2 linked regions of the Notamacropus eugenii genome follow. The main gene of each other region encodes a partner of the protein of the gene in region 2 in a complex. Links are inferred from orthologs where the notes say so. Each region holds a gene or a part of one and is shown on either strand. Other genes may lie near its edges.

The links. The genes of interacting proteins can lie anywhere in the genome.
Region 1: the proteins of WDR20 (region 2) and USP12 are in contact, whole or in part, in a crystal structure (PDB 5K1C), measured with the Homo sapiens proteins. The link is inferred for Notamacropus eugenii from reciprocal best matches to the Homo sapiens genes WDR20 and USP12. Residues at the interface, in NP_653175.2 of Homo sapiens: Asn41, Ser42, Gly44, Ser45, Arg151, Ser170, Lys259, Ser260, Tyr261, Phe262, Gly263, Glu282, Asp283, Asp284, Leu285, His301, Lys304, Ser305, Trp306, Gln374, Asp375, Thr376, Arg516, Met517, His533, Glu534, Arg535; in NP_872294.2 of Homo sapiens: Glu207, Asn209, Thr210, Ser211, Thr213, His214, Arg217, Arg277, Val279, Phe280, Pro281, Leu282, Glu283, Leu284, Arg285, Phe287, Asp297, Met299, Gln342, Glu345, Tyr348, Thr351, Ser352.

The regions. Positions count from the first base shown.
Region 1 is NC_092876.1:195,092,312-195,099,955, reverse strand, and holds the start of USP12 (ubiquitin carboxyl-terminal hydrolase 12), read left to right. Parts: upstream 1-4,644; 5' UTR 4,645-5,030; coding exon 5,031-5,078; intron 5,079-7,644. UniProt on the Homo sapiens protein: Deubiquitinating enzyme that plays various roles in the regulation of the immune response and inflammation.
Region 2 is NC_092872.1:351,726,159-351,733,124, forward strand, and holds the start of WDR20 (WD repeat-containing protein 20), read right to left. Parts: upstream 3,030-6,966; 5' UTR 2,953-3,029; coding exon 2,704-2,952; intron 1-2,703. UniProt on the Homo sapiens protein: Regulator of deubiquitinating complexes. Activates deubiquitinating activity of complexes containing USP12. Anchors at the base of the ubiquitin-contacting loop of USP12 and remotely modulates the catalytic center of the enzyme.

The sequences.
Region 1 (7,644 bases), on a different chromosome or scaffold from region 2:
GTTTTTATGTTAAACCAGTCTAATCCAAAGCAGGAGTAAAGCAAATATTTAAGATCCTCTTGCTTATAGATGTAATTAACTAGCACTCACTAAAAGTAGGTAAAGATTCTCTGTTAAGTATTATATCAATTAATTTCTTATATGCCCCTTATATACATATATACTTTGTTATTTGTATGATTTTGTTTAGAAAAAAACATTTGTACTAGAATAGGAGAACACACATGTACATTTTTATGCATATATTTCTTTCTACTCTGGTTTTGTTAAAAAAAAACCTCAGGGATTATTGTTCATCATTGATCTTAAATTAATACAGATCATTTATTCTTCACTTGCTCTCATTTTTGGCAAAAATTAAGAGCTCACAGATAAAGCACACTTCTGAGAAAATTTCCAATCCTGATCTGGGTCGAGAGGAACATAAGAATATTTCTTCATGGAACCAGGCTCCAGGACTGCTATAAAGTTACATTTTTAGTTTGTACCTTATATGCTCATATGATATAGATTCTGGAAACAAGGTAAGAAGACAGGACCCATAAGGAAGTAGGACCTATAATGTACATAAGGAAGGTCTAAAGTCCCACCCTTAGGTTATTGCTTTTTTTTTTTTTAAAGCTGAATGCCAGAAGTTAGGTCAACTGTGGGTCAGAACCACAGATACACCAGGTTTGTGGAATATAACCCCAACCGGAAGTGTCCCAGACCTAAATAAGTAGCTGTGTCCCTCCTACTTCTAACTCTCCTACTTCTCTATTGAAAAAACAGATGATATGCTTCAGAACTTTTCCCCATCTTTCCTCATTCTATCCTCTTTTGTTCTAGTCTCAGAGGAAAAGGTCATTCTACTCTTAGCTCAGTCTGACCCCTCAACTTGGGCCCTTCATCCTTTTCCCTTCTGTTCTCCAGAAATTTGCCTGTGATTGATTTTCAATGAAAAGCAAGCAGAGATTTTTGTTGACATCTGGTAATATTCCAACTATTATGTATCACTACATTCCTCTTTTGGGCAACAGGAGCAATCCCTCCCGCTTCCCCCTTCAAACTTCTACCTGGCAGGGACTGTTTTTAGTTTTTTGGTTTGTAACAATGTATCTCTGGCTTCTACTGTTTTAAGGGCAGGTCTGTTACCTTGCCCCATCTCCATAACCCAAGGTTCTCTGAAGGGGTGAGATTAGACTCATCTCGGCATTGGCTAGGGCTTCCATCGATTGTGTTTCCCAATTTTAGGGGCAAATGACTTGTACCCAGTTCCATTGAGCCACTTAGTTTAGCTTTTACAAAGGAAAATTTACTTCAAAGGTATGAGAAAACATAAGTACATTTTCCCTAGCACCTGAGAGCCTAATCCCTCTTACACCATCTCAGTCTCTAGGAAGTCTCAGTCCTTACCTAACATTAATCCCACCAAATTCAAGTCTGTCCTGAACCATTGGTGCACTGGCTGCAACATCTGGCCAGGTGTGCTGGGCTCCAAAATCCCTGTAGCTCAATTTTCTGAGTCTGGAACTCCACTTCCTGCACTCAGCAGTGAAAGGGACAAATGAAACAGACCAAAACTCCAAGCCCATTTCTTGGGGCTTTATGGCCAATGGAGGAGAGGGAGGCATACCTCAGGCGTGCCTCCCATCTCTCCCCCTCCCGCTTCCTCACTTCGTAGTGTCATGTGCTGCGAATGAATGAATACACCCATAGATGCAAATGCTAGAAAAGGACAACTGTCCTTAGTGACACGGATAATTCTGACTATATAGCTAATAAAAAAGGCTACTCCCAACTACACGGTAGGCCAATTCAGAATGTTTAGGCACACACTAGTTCTGTCTCTCAGAAGCAAGTCCCAAGAATTTCCCACATACGTGACACAATTTTCATTGGTCTGGGCATGTGCCAAACCTCCATTACACTTGTGTTCCCAGCGCTTAGCACACAACCTGGCACATAGTAATCAAAACCTAATAAATGTCTTTTCCTTGACTGATTTTGTGAGACCTCTATCCTGATTGTCTTCTACCTACCTTACTGCTCTTTCTCAGTCTCTCCTCCTGGATCATCATTTATGTCCTGTAACCTAACTGTGGTTCATTTACAAGATTCTTTCCTGGGCATTCTTCTCTAGCTACATTCTTTCTGTTGGTGACATTTTGGGTACAGTTCCAAATTGCTTGTGAATAGTTGGATCATTTCAGAGCTCTACCAACAGTGCATTAGTCTGCTTATCTTCCCACATCTCCTCCAAAAATGGTCATTTTTCTATTTTTTTTTGTCATCTTTGCTAATCTGATGGTAGAATCTTAGAGTTGCTTTAATGTGTATTTCTTCTTTTGAAAACTGTCTATGCATAGCCTTTGATCATTTGCCTACTGGGAAATGGTTCTTGTTCCTGTATGTTTGTATCAATTTCCTGCATATTTTGGTATCAGACCTTTAGCAGAGAAATTAGCTTCAAGGATTTTTTTGTGGCTAACTGTTTACCTTCTAATTTTAATTGCATTCATTTTGTTTGTGAAAATCTTTTTAATTTTATAGCTACTTTTCCATGTCTTTTCCCCATTAAAATGTTATTAAAATCTTTTGATTTTATATCATCTGCATTTTCCAATATATACTTCTATCTCTCCTTCCAAGAAAATTATCCATTATAACAAAGAATAAAAAAGAGAAAAACAGTTCAGTAAAACAAATCAGTATATTAATCAAGTCTGATACCATATTCAGCGTTTCACCCATAATATTCCACTTTTGCAATGAACGAAAGGAGATCTAGGCTTATTTCTTCATTCCCTTTCATTCACTCTATGTTCTATCAGTACCTGACATTCAGTGCACTTGCATTGCATCTTCTGCCCTGCAGCTATGTGATGTATTTCCTCACTTCTGTCTCTTAGATTTCCTGGGTTCTCTCCAGACTCAACTCATGAGCCACTACAGAAAGCCTCTCCTGTCTTGATTGTCGCTGATTTCTCCTTCCTCAAATGTTCTTGTAAATGTGTGTTGAGAGTAGAGAATATGAAATATGAGTTAAGGTTGGAAAAGGAGGATGGAGCTAGATAGTAGAAGGTTTTGAAGGTTAAGGCCAAAGAACTTTTATTTTATTCAATAGGCATTGAAGGAATCACTGAATAGGAGGATAATGTGATCCAGGCTGTATATTAGAAAGACTAACCTGGTAATAGTGTATAGATGGTTTAAGGGAAGACACTAGAGAAAGGAAGCCAGGTTAGGTTATAAATCAAATCAATAACTATTTATGGATTTCCTACTATTTACAATTCACACTATGGACAATTTTTTTTCTAATGGAATTCATCTACTATGTTATAATGGAAGTCAATACGGAAATTGATTTCTTAGCAAACTTTAAATATCTTCAGCCCGTTATTTTAGGGATAATTGTTCAGTTGAATGTAATCTCAGGCACTGAGAACCAGGCAGAATCTTGCCTTGCCTCCCACCCTCAATAACTTCTGTAAGCAAGTATTTAAAAATAAAAGACTTTTTTTTTTTTTTTTTTAAAGAAACAGGAATTTGCTGGATAATTTTAAGAAATTAAACTTAATTTCCTGGAACAAGAAGAATTAATGATGAACTGCCTGAAATGAATGACAGATTTTCAAATGATGCACTTTAAAAATAGAAAGAAGGAAACAGTTCCACTAGTTTACACTTTGATGTACTTCTCACAGAACTTGTCTATTTTTTTCTCCCACTTGCCAGTCTTATCAACTTCCTTTTGTCTCTCTGGGTAATATTATCCTTGTTGGGTCTCTTCCTATTCTTCCCTTTGCAGTTCTTGTTGTCTGGAAAAATATATTTAGAGAGTATATTTATAAGCATCATCAAAATTCATACTCAACAGGCAGGCTGTCTTTTGCAGATTCCTTACCCTTCCTCTTACATCACCGAGCTAAATATAACATGTATATGTCGAATCTTTACTTTTCTGTCTTTCTTTGGTAGGGTACTTTGGGGAAATCATTTGCCCTTTCTGGGCCTCAGTTTCCCCACCTGTAAAATGTGGGGATTGGGCTTTGAGATGTTGGAAGATGCCATCTAACTTTAATACTGTGTTCCCATGACGCGTTTGACACAAGTGCGCCGTTTTCAGAGAAAGATTAGACTTTGCAAATGAGTGGGTCTCACCGGGTCACAGCTGCGGAGGCGGGCTTTTCCCATTCCCTGCCCAAGAACCGAAGCCTTGGGCACGGATGTGTTGGGAGCGGAGACGCATCATTCCACCTAGAGGTCTGAACTGCCCGAATAAATCAGGTAAAGACCCAACTTCCGAGCCCCCTCTTCCGCGCTGTCCGGGCCAGCTCGGCTGCTCTGGCTTCCTGGCTCAGATCATCCATTCCCGAAGGGAAAGGAGGGCGGAAGAATGGTGGAAGAGCACTAGGACCCGGAGGGAAGTGCCGGCGGCGCCTCCCCGCCCCCTCAGGCCCTACCCCGCTACACGTTGGGGGCGGGGTTCTCATGGCTGGGGAAGGAGAAGGAGGAGGAGAGGGCGGCGCCTCGTGCGCGTGCGGCCGCTCGGGCTCGGCGGGCTGGCGGCTGGGGGCGGAGCTTGCTGGCCTCTAGCAGCGGGGCGGAGGCGGAGGCAGAGGGGGTGCTGGCCGCTCAGGTTGTCGGTCCCCGGGGTGCGGCGAGTGGGTGGTGCCGGAGTTGCCCGGACAGGCCGGGCATTAGGGCCCCGGCGGAGCTTGCTCCCCAGGCCGCGCTGGGCGGGGTGCTAGGCGGGCTGGAGCGGCCTCCGGAGGCAGCGGCTGCGCCCTGAGCCGGGGAGGAGCCGCAGCCGGAGCCGGGGGCGGGGGCCTTGGCCAGGGTGCCGGAGCGCCGGGCTCAGACGGTTGTTGGGGTCGGTCTGTGGGTCGCTCGGCCGGTCCTTTGGTCGGCCAGCCGGGCTGGGGCTGTCGGGCCGCCGGTACTGAGGGCGGCGGCCCCGCTGCCCTGCTCCTCCTCCCCCGCGCCCGGTGCTCGGAGCCCGGCGCCGCCGCCGCTGTGATTGGGTGGAAGATGGCGCTGGGCGGATGGAAATCCTAATGACAGTCTCCAAATTTGCTTCCATCTGTACCATGGTAGGTGGGAGCTGCGTCGGGAGCGGGTGTCCCGGGGGAGCCCCTGACCTTCCCCCGCCCGCGGCCGCCCCGGACACGGCGGGGCCTAGGGCGGCCCCGGGCCGGAATGAGACGGGCGGCTGGGGCCGGGCTGCGAGAGGAGGAGGAGGAGGAGGAGGAGGGTGAGGGCGGGTTACGGGCTCCTCGGAGCCCAGGCTGCCGTTAGGGGAGGCACCGGCGGGCGGGGAGGGCTTGGACACTGGGGCGGCGGGAGCCATTAGAGGCCTCGCTGGACCGGCCGGTGTGTGCGTGTGTGCGTGTGCGCCCGGGAGTGTATAAGGTAGTGGAGTAGCCCTTCTCCGCGAGTGAGTGCGTGCGTGCGTGCGTGTGTGTGCGGTATCGGAGGCTCTCCCTTTACCATGTGAGTGTGAGAAGAATTAGAGGTTCTCCCGAACACCTACTCCCCCCCTCGGGTGTGTATGTGTGTATGTTTATGTGTCTGAGTTAAATCGGAGGCCTTCCCCCTTAGCGAGTGTGTGAGTTTGGAGACGTGTGTGTTTGTAAGCTGTTAGAGGTTTTACCTCCGGCGTGCATGCGTGTGTGTGTGTGGGGGGGGGGGGCGAGTGCACTTTTATTCCCTCCGCTGGTGGGAATGAGCGATTGAGGAGGTTCCACTCTAATGCGTGTGCTTGCGTGCGTGTGTGTGTGTGTGAGTTAATTGGAAGTCTTCGTGCGAGTGTGAGAGTTTGGAGGGGCGTGAGTGCGTTATCGGAGGTCTGTTCTGCGTGCGTGTGTGAGAGTTCGGCGGCGATTGGAGGCTTTCCCCTCGGCGTGCGTGAGAGCAATTGAGGAGATCCCTCATCAGTGTGTACGCGCATGAGTGAGAGAGAGAGAGTGTGTGTGTGTGTGTGTGTGTGTGTTTGTGTGTTTGTGCGGGCGCTCAAGGTATTGGAGCCTTTCTCCTTTTCCTGTGTGTGCATGAGACTGGAGGCTCCCCTCTCAGTGTGTGTTATTTTTAAGGCTTGTGCGTGTGAGGATTGAGACCGTGGAGGCTTCCCCCTTAGCTTGTGTGAGTTACTGGAGGGTCTTCCCTCTGTAATGTAAGGCATGCCTGCAAGTTTCCCCTTCCGTGTGTGTGTGCGCGTGTATGTATGTGTGTAGATACTACAAGTCTCTCAATGCGAGGGATGGAATTAAGAAGTTCTTCTTGGATTCTGAGGTTGATAGAGAAATTTTGCCTATTGTGAAGACAGTCTACGTAGGTAGATTTTGTCACTGTAGAAGGGTCCACTAAATATGTTGATAGGAAATCTGTTGCTCTCTGTGGAGAAGATGTATAGGATTGGGTAGATTTTTTTTTTTTTTTGCTTCATGCCTCTTGAAGGACCCTCCAACCTGTCACTGTTGTGGGTTGAAAAGATGTGCTGGTTTGTTTAAATATGTTGCTGAACATTTTTTCCTTCTTTTCTATTTTTAATTTGCTGAAGAATTCTTGCGATGAACTGTCTTTCCCCTTTTCCAAACAAAAGGAGACAACGACTGTGTTTAGGTGGTAGCTTGGTCTCTCAGAATGTTGTTACTTTTAAAAACTCCACCAGTAATCTTTTAACTTATTAACTGGAATATACCAAATCCATCTGTATTTATTTAGTTTAAAGTATCTTTGTCAGACTGAGGGGGACGTGATATTTGTGTGATAACCTTAAAAAAAAAAACTTCATTCTTCACAACAGAAATGTGCCAGTGTCTGTTCAAAACCTTGATTTAAACATTTTACTTTTGAGTCAACATTTATTAAGTGCCTCCTGTGTGCCAGGACTAGGATAGGCCATAGGGATACAAAGACAAAAACAAACAAAACAACCTATGTCCTCAGGGAGCTTACTTTCTATGGGGAATTAACATCTACATGTATGAGCAAATATAGCATATTTATAGAATAATTTGGAGGTGGTTGGTTTTTGGGGCTGGGGGAGATCATGAAAGGCCTTACATATAAAGGAAGCACTTAAGCTGTGCTTCGAAGAACACTAGGAATTTTAAGCATATGTAAAAGGGCATGGAGACTGGAGATGTTATGCTTTTTATGGAGAAATAAAAGTAAACCATTTTGGTGAGTACCTAAAGGAAAGGAATGTATAGTTAGTCTGGAGAGGTAGGTTGGAATTAGGTTGTGAAGAACTTCAAAAACCTGAGAAATTCCTGTTTGTTCCTAAATGCCTCCACAGCTTCTTAGGCTGGGGAATGATGGTCAGACCATTGCTTAAGGAACGTGAGTTTGGTAGTTGTTTGGAGGATGGAGAGAAGAGGGTAGGGAATAGATGCAGGGAAACTAATTAAGATGGTTGTTAGTCCTGGGGAAAGGTCATAAAAGCCTGAGCCTTGTGGTAGTTGTGTGAGTAGAGAGAAGGAAATTGTTCCACAATATCTTGTGGAGGTAGAAAGATTTTTCAACCAATTGGACATGAGTGGTACTGAAGAATTGTTGAATGTGATAGAGATAACAAGCCTGAGTGACTAGAAGAATTGTAGTCTGTTCAACAGAATTTGGAAATTGGAAAAAGGAGTGGGTTTTAGGGAAAGATGA
Region 2 (6,966 bases):
ACCACCTGTTTCTGTTTTCTGTAAATGCAACTCCTATTTTTTTCATTATAATTTATTTATTTTTAGTTTTCAACATTCATTTCCACAAGATTTTGAGTTCCAAACTTTCTCCCCATCTCTCCCCTCCCCCACCCACCATGCATTCTGATTACCCCTTCCTCCAATCTGCCCTCCCTTTTATCACACCCCTCCTTTCCCTTTTCCCCATCTTCTCTCTTTTCTTATAGGGCAAGATAGATATCTATACCCCATTACCTGTATTTCTTATTTCTCAGTTGCTGCAAAAACAATTCTCAACATTCATTCTTAAAACTTTCAGTTCCAACTTCCCTCCCTTCCTCCCTCCCCACCTATCCCCACTGAAAAGGCAAGCAATTCAATATGTTATACATGTGCAGTTATGCAAAAGACTTCCATAAAAGTTATGTTAGGCAAAACTAATTATATTTCCCTCCAACCTCTCCTGCCCCCCATTTATTCTATTCTCCTCTTCTGACCCTATCCCTCCTCAAAAGTATTTACTTCTAATTCCTCTCTCCTCCCATTTACCCTCCCTTCTACCCTACTTTCCTGTAGTGTAAGATAGTTTCATAGCAAATTGAGTATGTGTGTTATTCTCTCCTTAAGCCAAATGTGATGGGAATAAGGTTCACTTTTTCCCTCTCACCTCCCCTCTTTCCTTCCACTGATAAAGCTCTACATGTATATAATCCCTCCAACTACCCTACGCAACTCCTATTTTTTAAAGTCATTTAGAAGAACTTTTCAGAGCAGTTTTGCAAATCTCTCTTTACTTTAGTATTACCATTTTGTAAGAAAGGTTATTATCTACCTTAATAAAAACTTCCTTTGCAAAGATAATTCTTGAGCATGGGCTCTGTTTTATGATGTAAACCAAGACTGCCCAGATCAAGTTTCCTATGAGAAAGCTTCAACAAGAAAACTTGCAGAGTAAAAAAGGTAACAGAGTAACAAGATGGTTCAACTGGTTATCAGTTTAGGTGAAAGTTAAGGTTGGTTTGGAGGTTGTTTTTTTGGTGTTCGGTGTCTAAAAAATACATTTTAGCAATGAAAACTTTGAAACTAACTGCACCAGAAAACTGACCCTTAAAGTTCTAGGATCAAAATCAAGATGGCAGTTTCCTGTTTGACCATTATTCTTTATATTTGTAACTGTTTTCCATTTATTGTCTCTGAAGACTTCACAATAGTGTACACTTATTAATTCATTATTTACAACATATTCACAGCAATCAATCTTTTTTTAAAGTAGAGGAGTTCTAGGTGAACCAACTTGGCAAAGGTCACCCAACAAGTCAGTGACAAAGCTAGGAACGGGACCAAGGTTATGTTTTCTTACTTTCCAACTTTAAAAGGAAAAGAAAAATTAAGTGGCTTCTTTTCAATATTTTCCATCACATTCTGACCATAATCGGAAACACTAGCAAAAACATTTCAGATAACTGCTTTAGAAACACACTCAGCATACCCACCACATGACCCTGCAATACTGAAATGAAAATACTGTACTTGTACATAATGTATTTATTTGCAGAAAGTCTGTATTCTTTCTTATTCATTATGTGCGTATTTTAAGGTACTAATAAAAATTAGCATTTCTGCAAATCATATTTGTCTGTTCATAATCTTGCACAGATTACAGAGTCCATTATTTTCTCTCTGCTAATAGTAAATTCAAAGTTCTATTTCAAAAGCTTAACAAGTATATGATAACACAGATGAAGGCTCTAACAAATTTTTTTTTAAAGGGAGAACATGCTTGAAGACGATTGCACGGTCGAAAGAATTACTGTTGCTTGTCATGAAAAGGAGACCACATGAAGCCGCTTTTTAGACCTTCCTGATTTAGGTGTCTTCTCTGACAAGATTAGTTCGAATGCTCTCATGCTGAACCCATATCACCCGTTAAAATAATGGAAAAGTAAGATGCCTCAGTCCCTCACTTTAAAACTTAGCCTATCCACATACTAGAAACAGACAAGAGACAATCTTTCATGATCTTTCCTAGGAAAAGATTCACTCCCAAGCGTTCTATGGCTGGAGACAGCGACAGCTGCCCTGCCCTGAGCGCTCGGAGACACAAAGTGTGAACAGCCGGGCCACCGACGGACTCCTAGGAAGTGCGGCAGCAGGTGGATCGGCCCCCCGCGATCCCCCACCCGCGCCCAGGCGGCTCCTTTCGGACTACGGGCACAAGCCTGCAGCTCCCCAGCGCCGGTCCCACCTCATTACCACCCCTCGTCCCCGTCCTCTCACGGGGGAGCCCCCCAGCTCGCAGTCGGGCTGGGGCAGTCGCCACCCCCGCCCCCTCGCCCCTCAGGCCCGGCTCCATGCTTGTCACCCAACCTGACAGACTCAAGGCGGAGGAGGGTGGGGTGACGAGAGGCAGACACCTGGGGTGGGGGGTGGGGGGGTGGCCTCCCTGGACTGGTCCCCGAGTCAGCCCCCCAGACCCTCCCCCCACGCTACACGCCCCCCTCTATCTCCTCCCTCCCCCCAGTGCAAGCGCTGAGGTGAGAACTCTCAAGTGGAGTTACCGGCCCACTCTGAAGTGAAGCGGCCGCCGCCTCCTCCCCGGGTCGGGTCACGTCACCGGGTCCCGTCCCCTTCCCTGCCGCCCGTGCCGATGTCGCTGCCCCTTTCCCCACCCCCGGTGGGCCCTGGCGCCGCCCGGGTCGGTACCTTGCGGACCCCCTTGTAGATATAGAAGTAGAGCTCCCGGCCCACATTGAAGCAGAGGCGGTCGCCGTTGCCAGACTGGTCGTTAAGGTTGACGAAGGAGACGCGCACGGGGTTGGACCCCTGCGAGTTGAAGGGCACCCGGTTGGGCCGACTGTATTCCGAATGCGGTAGCAGCTTGTAAAGACCTTCTCGGGTGGTGAACTGGGTCTTAATCTCGTTCATCTCCTTCCCTCCTCCCTCCGTCGCCATCTTGGAAAGCAGCGTTCATCCTGCCCCAAGTGCCCGGATCACACCCACTGCGCAGGCGCCGTCCCTAGCTTTCCCAGAGGCCACCCCCCCCTTCTTCCCCCTCCTCTTTCACCCCGCCTTCCTTCTCACCCTTCCACTCCGGTCTCTCCCAACCGAGTGCGGCGGCGACGGGAAGGAGGGAGGGCTTGTTTATAGCGTGTTTGCGCAGGCGCGACCACCTCCCGGGCCCAGCTAGATATCCACTTGCAGTCCGAGGCTCATTCGCGGACTCCGGTCCCCGCGTCTGGGTCCCCGAGAGCCGTTGCGACCGCCGCCGGCTTAGGTGAGGGGCCCAGGGGGGCCGAGTCCTCGGTCGTAGGCCGTCCCAGGGTGTGGGAACCGCCGCTGTCGCCCCAGCGCGAGCCAGGCCGGTGGGGGGTGGGGGAGAAGGGAGGCGGGGTCCCGTGCCGGCGAGGACGGAAGCCGTGAGGGGCCAGGAGAGAGGAAGGCCGCCGGAGCCCTCGGCTGTCCAGGAGGGGAGCGGGAGCCCTTGTGGGCTCCTTGGCGGCCCCCGTCTGGAGAGGCCAGCGCCCTGGATTTGGAGTCGAGAGCCCCGGGATGCAGCTCCCGGACTAGGTAGCACCTGGGTGACCTTGACGACCCGGTCCTGGTCAGTCTGGGTCAGGTGAGACGCTCTCTACGGGGAGACACCTCAGAGACGTCTTGGGCCAAGCCCTTAAAACCCTTCCCCCCTTTGGACCGGCATTGCTCTGATTTTATGGCTGTAAAGAATTCCTGGTGAGGACACTCCCTTACCTGTGTGCGTGTCTGCACCGGTTCTGTCACGTACTAAATAGTCACCTGTGGGTGGCACTGTCAGTGTACAGGGCCTGGCCAGGCTCACACCATGGTAGGGGTCAGAGAGGGACGGAAGCCCAGATCTTGTTTACCTTCTTTATTTCTTGCTTTTCTGTACGCTTGGCATACAGAAGGCGCCTAATAAATGCTTGTTGCTTGCTGATTGCCATTGAACCTCTAAATGTCATTAGCAGAAGTGTTTGATCATTACAGCTGGCATTTATGGCGATCTTTAAGGTTTGCCAAGTGATTTACATATACTACCTCACTGTGTCCTCACAACCCTGGGAGGTGGATGCCATCCTTATCCCGGTTTTACAGATGGGGAAACTGAAACAGACAGAGACTGTGACCTGCTTAAGGTCACACAGCTTTCAAGTGTTTGCACTGAGGTTTTCCTGACTCCAGATCCAGGGCTCTAACCATAGCACCATCTACTTTTCTCAAGCCTTCCTCTAGAACAGGGGGTTTTTGTGGGAAGTCCCCTTGGGCAGCCTGATGACACCCATGGACCCCTCAGAATTTTTTTTAGTACATATAATAAAATACATAAGATAATAAAGGAAATCAGTTGTATTGAAATATACTTATCAAAACAATTTTTTTAAAGAAAAAATGGGTTTGGGTTCCACGGTAAGAATCTCTGGAAAAGAGGAAAATGACTGTCTTGTCATCTCTTGGTCAAATACTTGGAATATGGTGTTTGTGAACCATCATAAGTGTTTGGAAACTATATTTGAGGAAAAGACATTGAAAAGGTGACTCTTATCTTGAAATGGCCAAGTAAAATGGGAAGGGAACCACAAAAATTGTGTCAAGAATTGTGTGGACCAATTAAGAATGTGTAGACTGGAGGCAATTTATTGGCCGTGATAGGTGTCTGTCTTCAGTTACTTAAAGGGAACGAGCTGGCATTTGGAAAATTACTCAGTGCTTTCTTTAAATCACCCCAAACTACTCTCCAAAACAAAAGCCAGTCTTTTTAACATAAATATTATTTTGGCTGTGAGGCATGAAATATCATTCTGAAAAATTAAAGTTGAAGGTCACCTAAAGGTTGACACTCTTGGTAGTCCTAAGTAGGGTAACATATTACTACTGAGAACTGGCATAAATTTTATCAGAGAAATGTATAGCCGTAAAAGGATGCGGATAGGTCACCTAGCAAGAGCAAAGAATCTAAGGGGAAACATACTCAGCTTGCCTCCCAATTTCATTGGTTGAACTGCCTTTGAAGGATTTGGTTGAGAATCATTCAGTTGACAGTTTTGCCTTCTACCTGAAAATTGATTTAACTTATTAACACATTAGAGTAAGATAAAAAAAAAATTAACTGGATGCTCAATTCCTGAAGGCTTTATTTTTATCCTGGGTTAATAAGTATTCATTTGCATTAAATAAACCTCTAAATAAACCTTTGGGTTGTCTAATAGTTCTTCAGCATTAGTAAGGAGAGATACTTTTATTTGTAGAGGAATGTATGTAACTATAACCACTAATGTCAATAAAATGTAAAAAGTGATTTCTATTATAGAGACACCAAAGGGTGAATAGAAAGCAGGCCTTGGAGTCCTAAAGATCTGGGTTCAGCTTTGATATAGGTTGACTTTGTGACCCTAGACAAGTTACTACATGTTTCCATGATATCTCCCCCATTGGATTGTGAGCTCCTTAAGAGCAGGGACTGTCTTTTGCCTTTATTCAAATTTCTAGCACTTCCCACAGTACTTGGCATGTAGTAGGTTTTAAATAAATGCTTGGTAACTTAGACTCAACTTTTCAGTACCCCAGGTAACTAAGCCTATAAGCTGCCAAGCATCTCTAATCAATCAGTAAGCATTTATTAAATGCCTACTCTGCCGGGACTGAGGTAGATACTGGGGATACAAAGACATAAAACAGTCCTTATTCTTTAGGAGCTTACATTCTCAAAAGGGAGATGAGGTATACATATAACACGTAGAAAATAAATACCAGGCAATTGTGAAGAAAAACCACCAGTGACCATGGGAACTAGGAAAGGCCTCTTATGGTGGTATTTGAGCTGATCTATTCGAAGAGGAAGAGGTAAACAGGGAGTGCATTTCAGGAATGCAAGTGTGGAACAGCCTATGCAAAAGTACAGTCAGAAGATGGAATGCTATATTTGGGCAAAAGAGCTCAAAGCAAAGCCAATTTGGCTGGATTATAGAGCATACAGAGCTCCCCTTCATATACATATTAATGTATAATAAGGCTGGAAAGGTAGATTGGAGGCAGGTCGTGAAGTGTTTTAAACACCAGACAGAGCAATTTATTTTTTATCCTAGGGACAGTAGGAAGCCACTGGAGTTTATCAAGCAAGAAAGTACCATAGTCATGCTTTACTTCAGTAATGTCACATTAGTACTTGTGTGAAGGAGCAAGGGGACCAATTTAAAATGGAGTAGTCTTAAGTGAGAGGTGATGAGGCTCTGAACTAGGCTGGTTGAAGAGTGGAAAGATGGAGATGAATGGAAGATGTAGAGATAGGGTTGACAAGACTTGGCCACTCATTGGATATGTGGGGCAAGGAAAAGTGAGGAGGGAGAGATGACTCAGAGGTTGCAAATACTTGTGACTGAAAGTATGGTGGTACATTCAGCAGAAATAGAGAAGTCTGAAAGAGTGGGTTTGGTGCAGGGAGGAGATAATGACATCTATTTTGAATATATTGAATTTGAGAAGCCATTTGAAAAAATATGCAAAAAACCTATTGATGGTGCAAGTCTGTATCTAGAAATCATCTGTGTGCCATAACAGTTGAACCAATGGGAGATGATAAGTTCTCGGAGATTATACATTGAGAAATGAACTAGTCTTGGAATATATCCAGAGTTAAGGGCAGAGGGAATGATGATCCAGCAAAGAATGAAAAGTAATAGTCAGATAAGAGGAAAACCAAGAGAGTAGTGTCACAAAAAAAGAAAAAGTATGTATGAGTAGGAAATACTCAGCATTGTCACTTGTAACAGACAGATCCAGAAGGGTGACAGTTAAGAAAAGGCCATCTGATTTGTCAATTAAGAAACCACTGGTAACTTTAGATGGAGCAGTTTCAGTTGAATAGGTTTTTTTTCCCCAAGAGAGAATGCTATGTACTTATTTTATTTATAAGTAAGATTGATTATAAGTAGTCATTTTAGCATTTGCAGATAC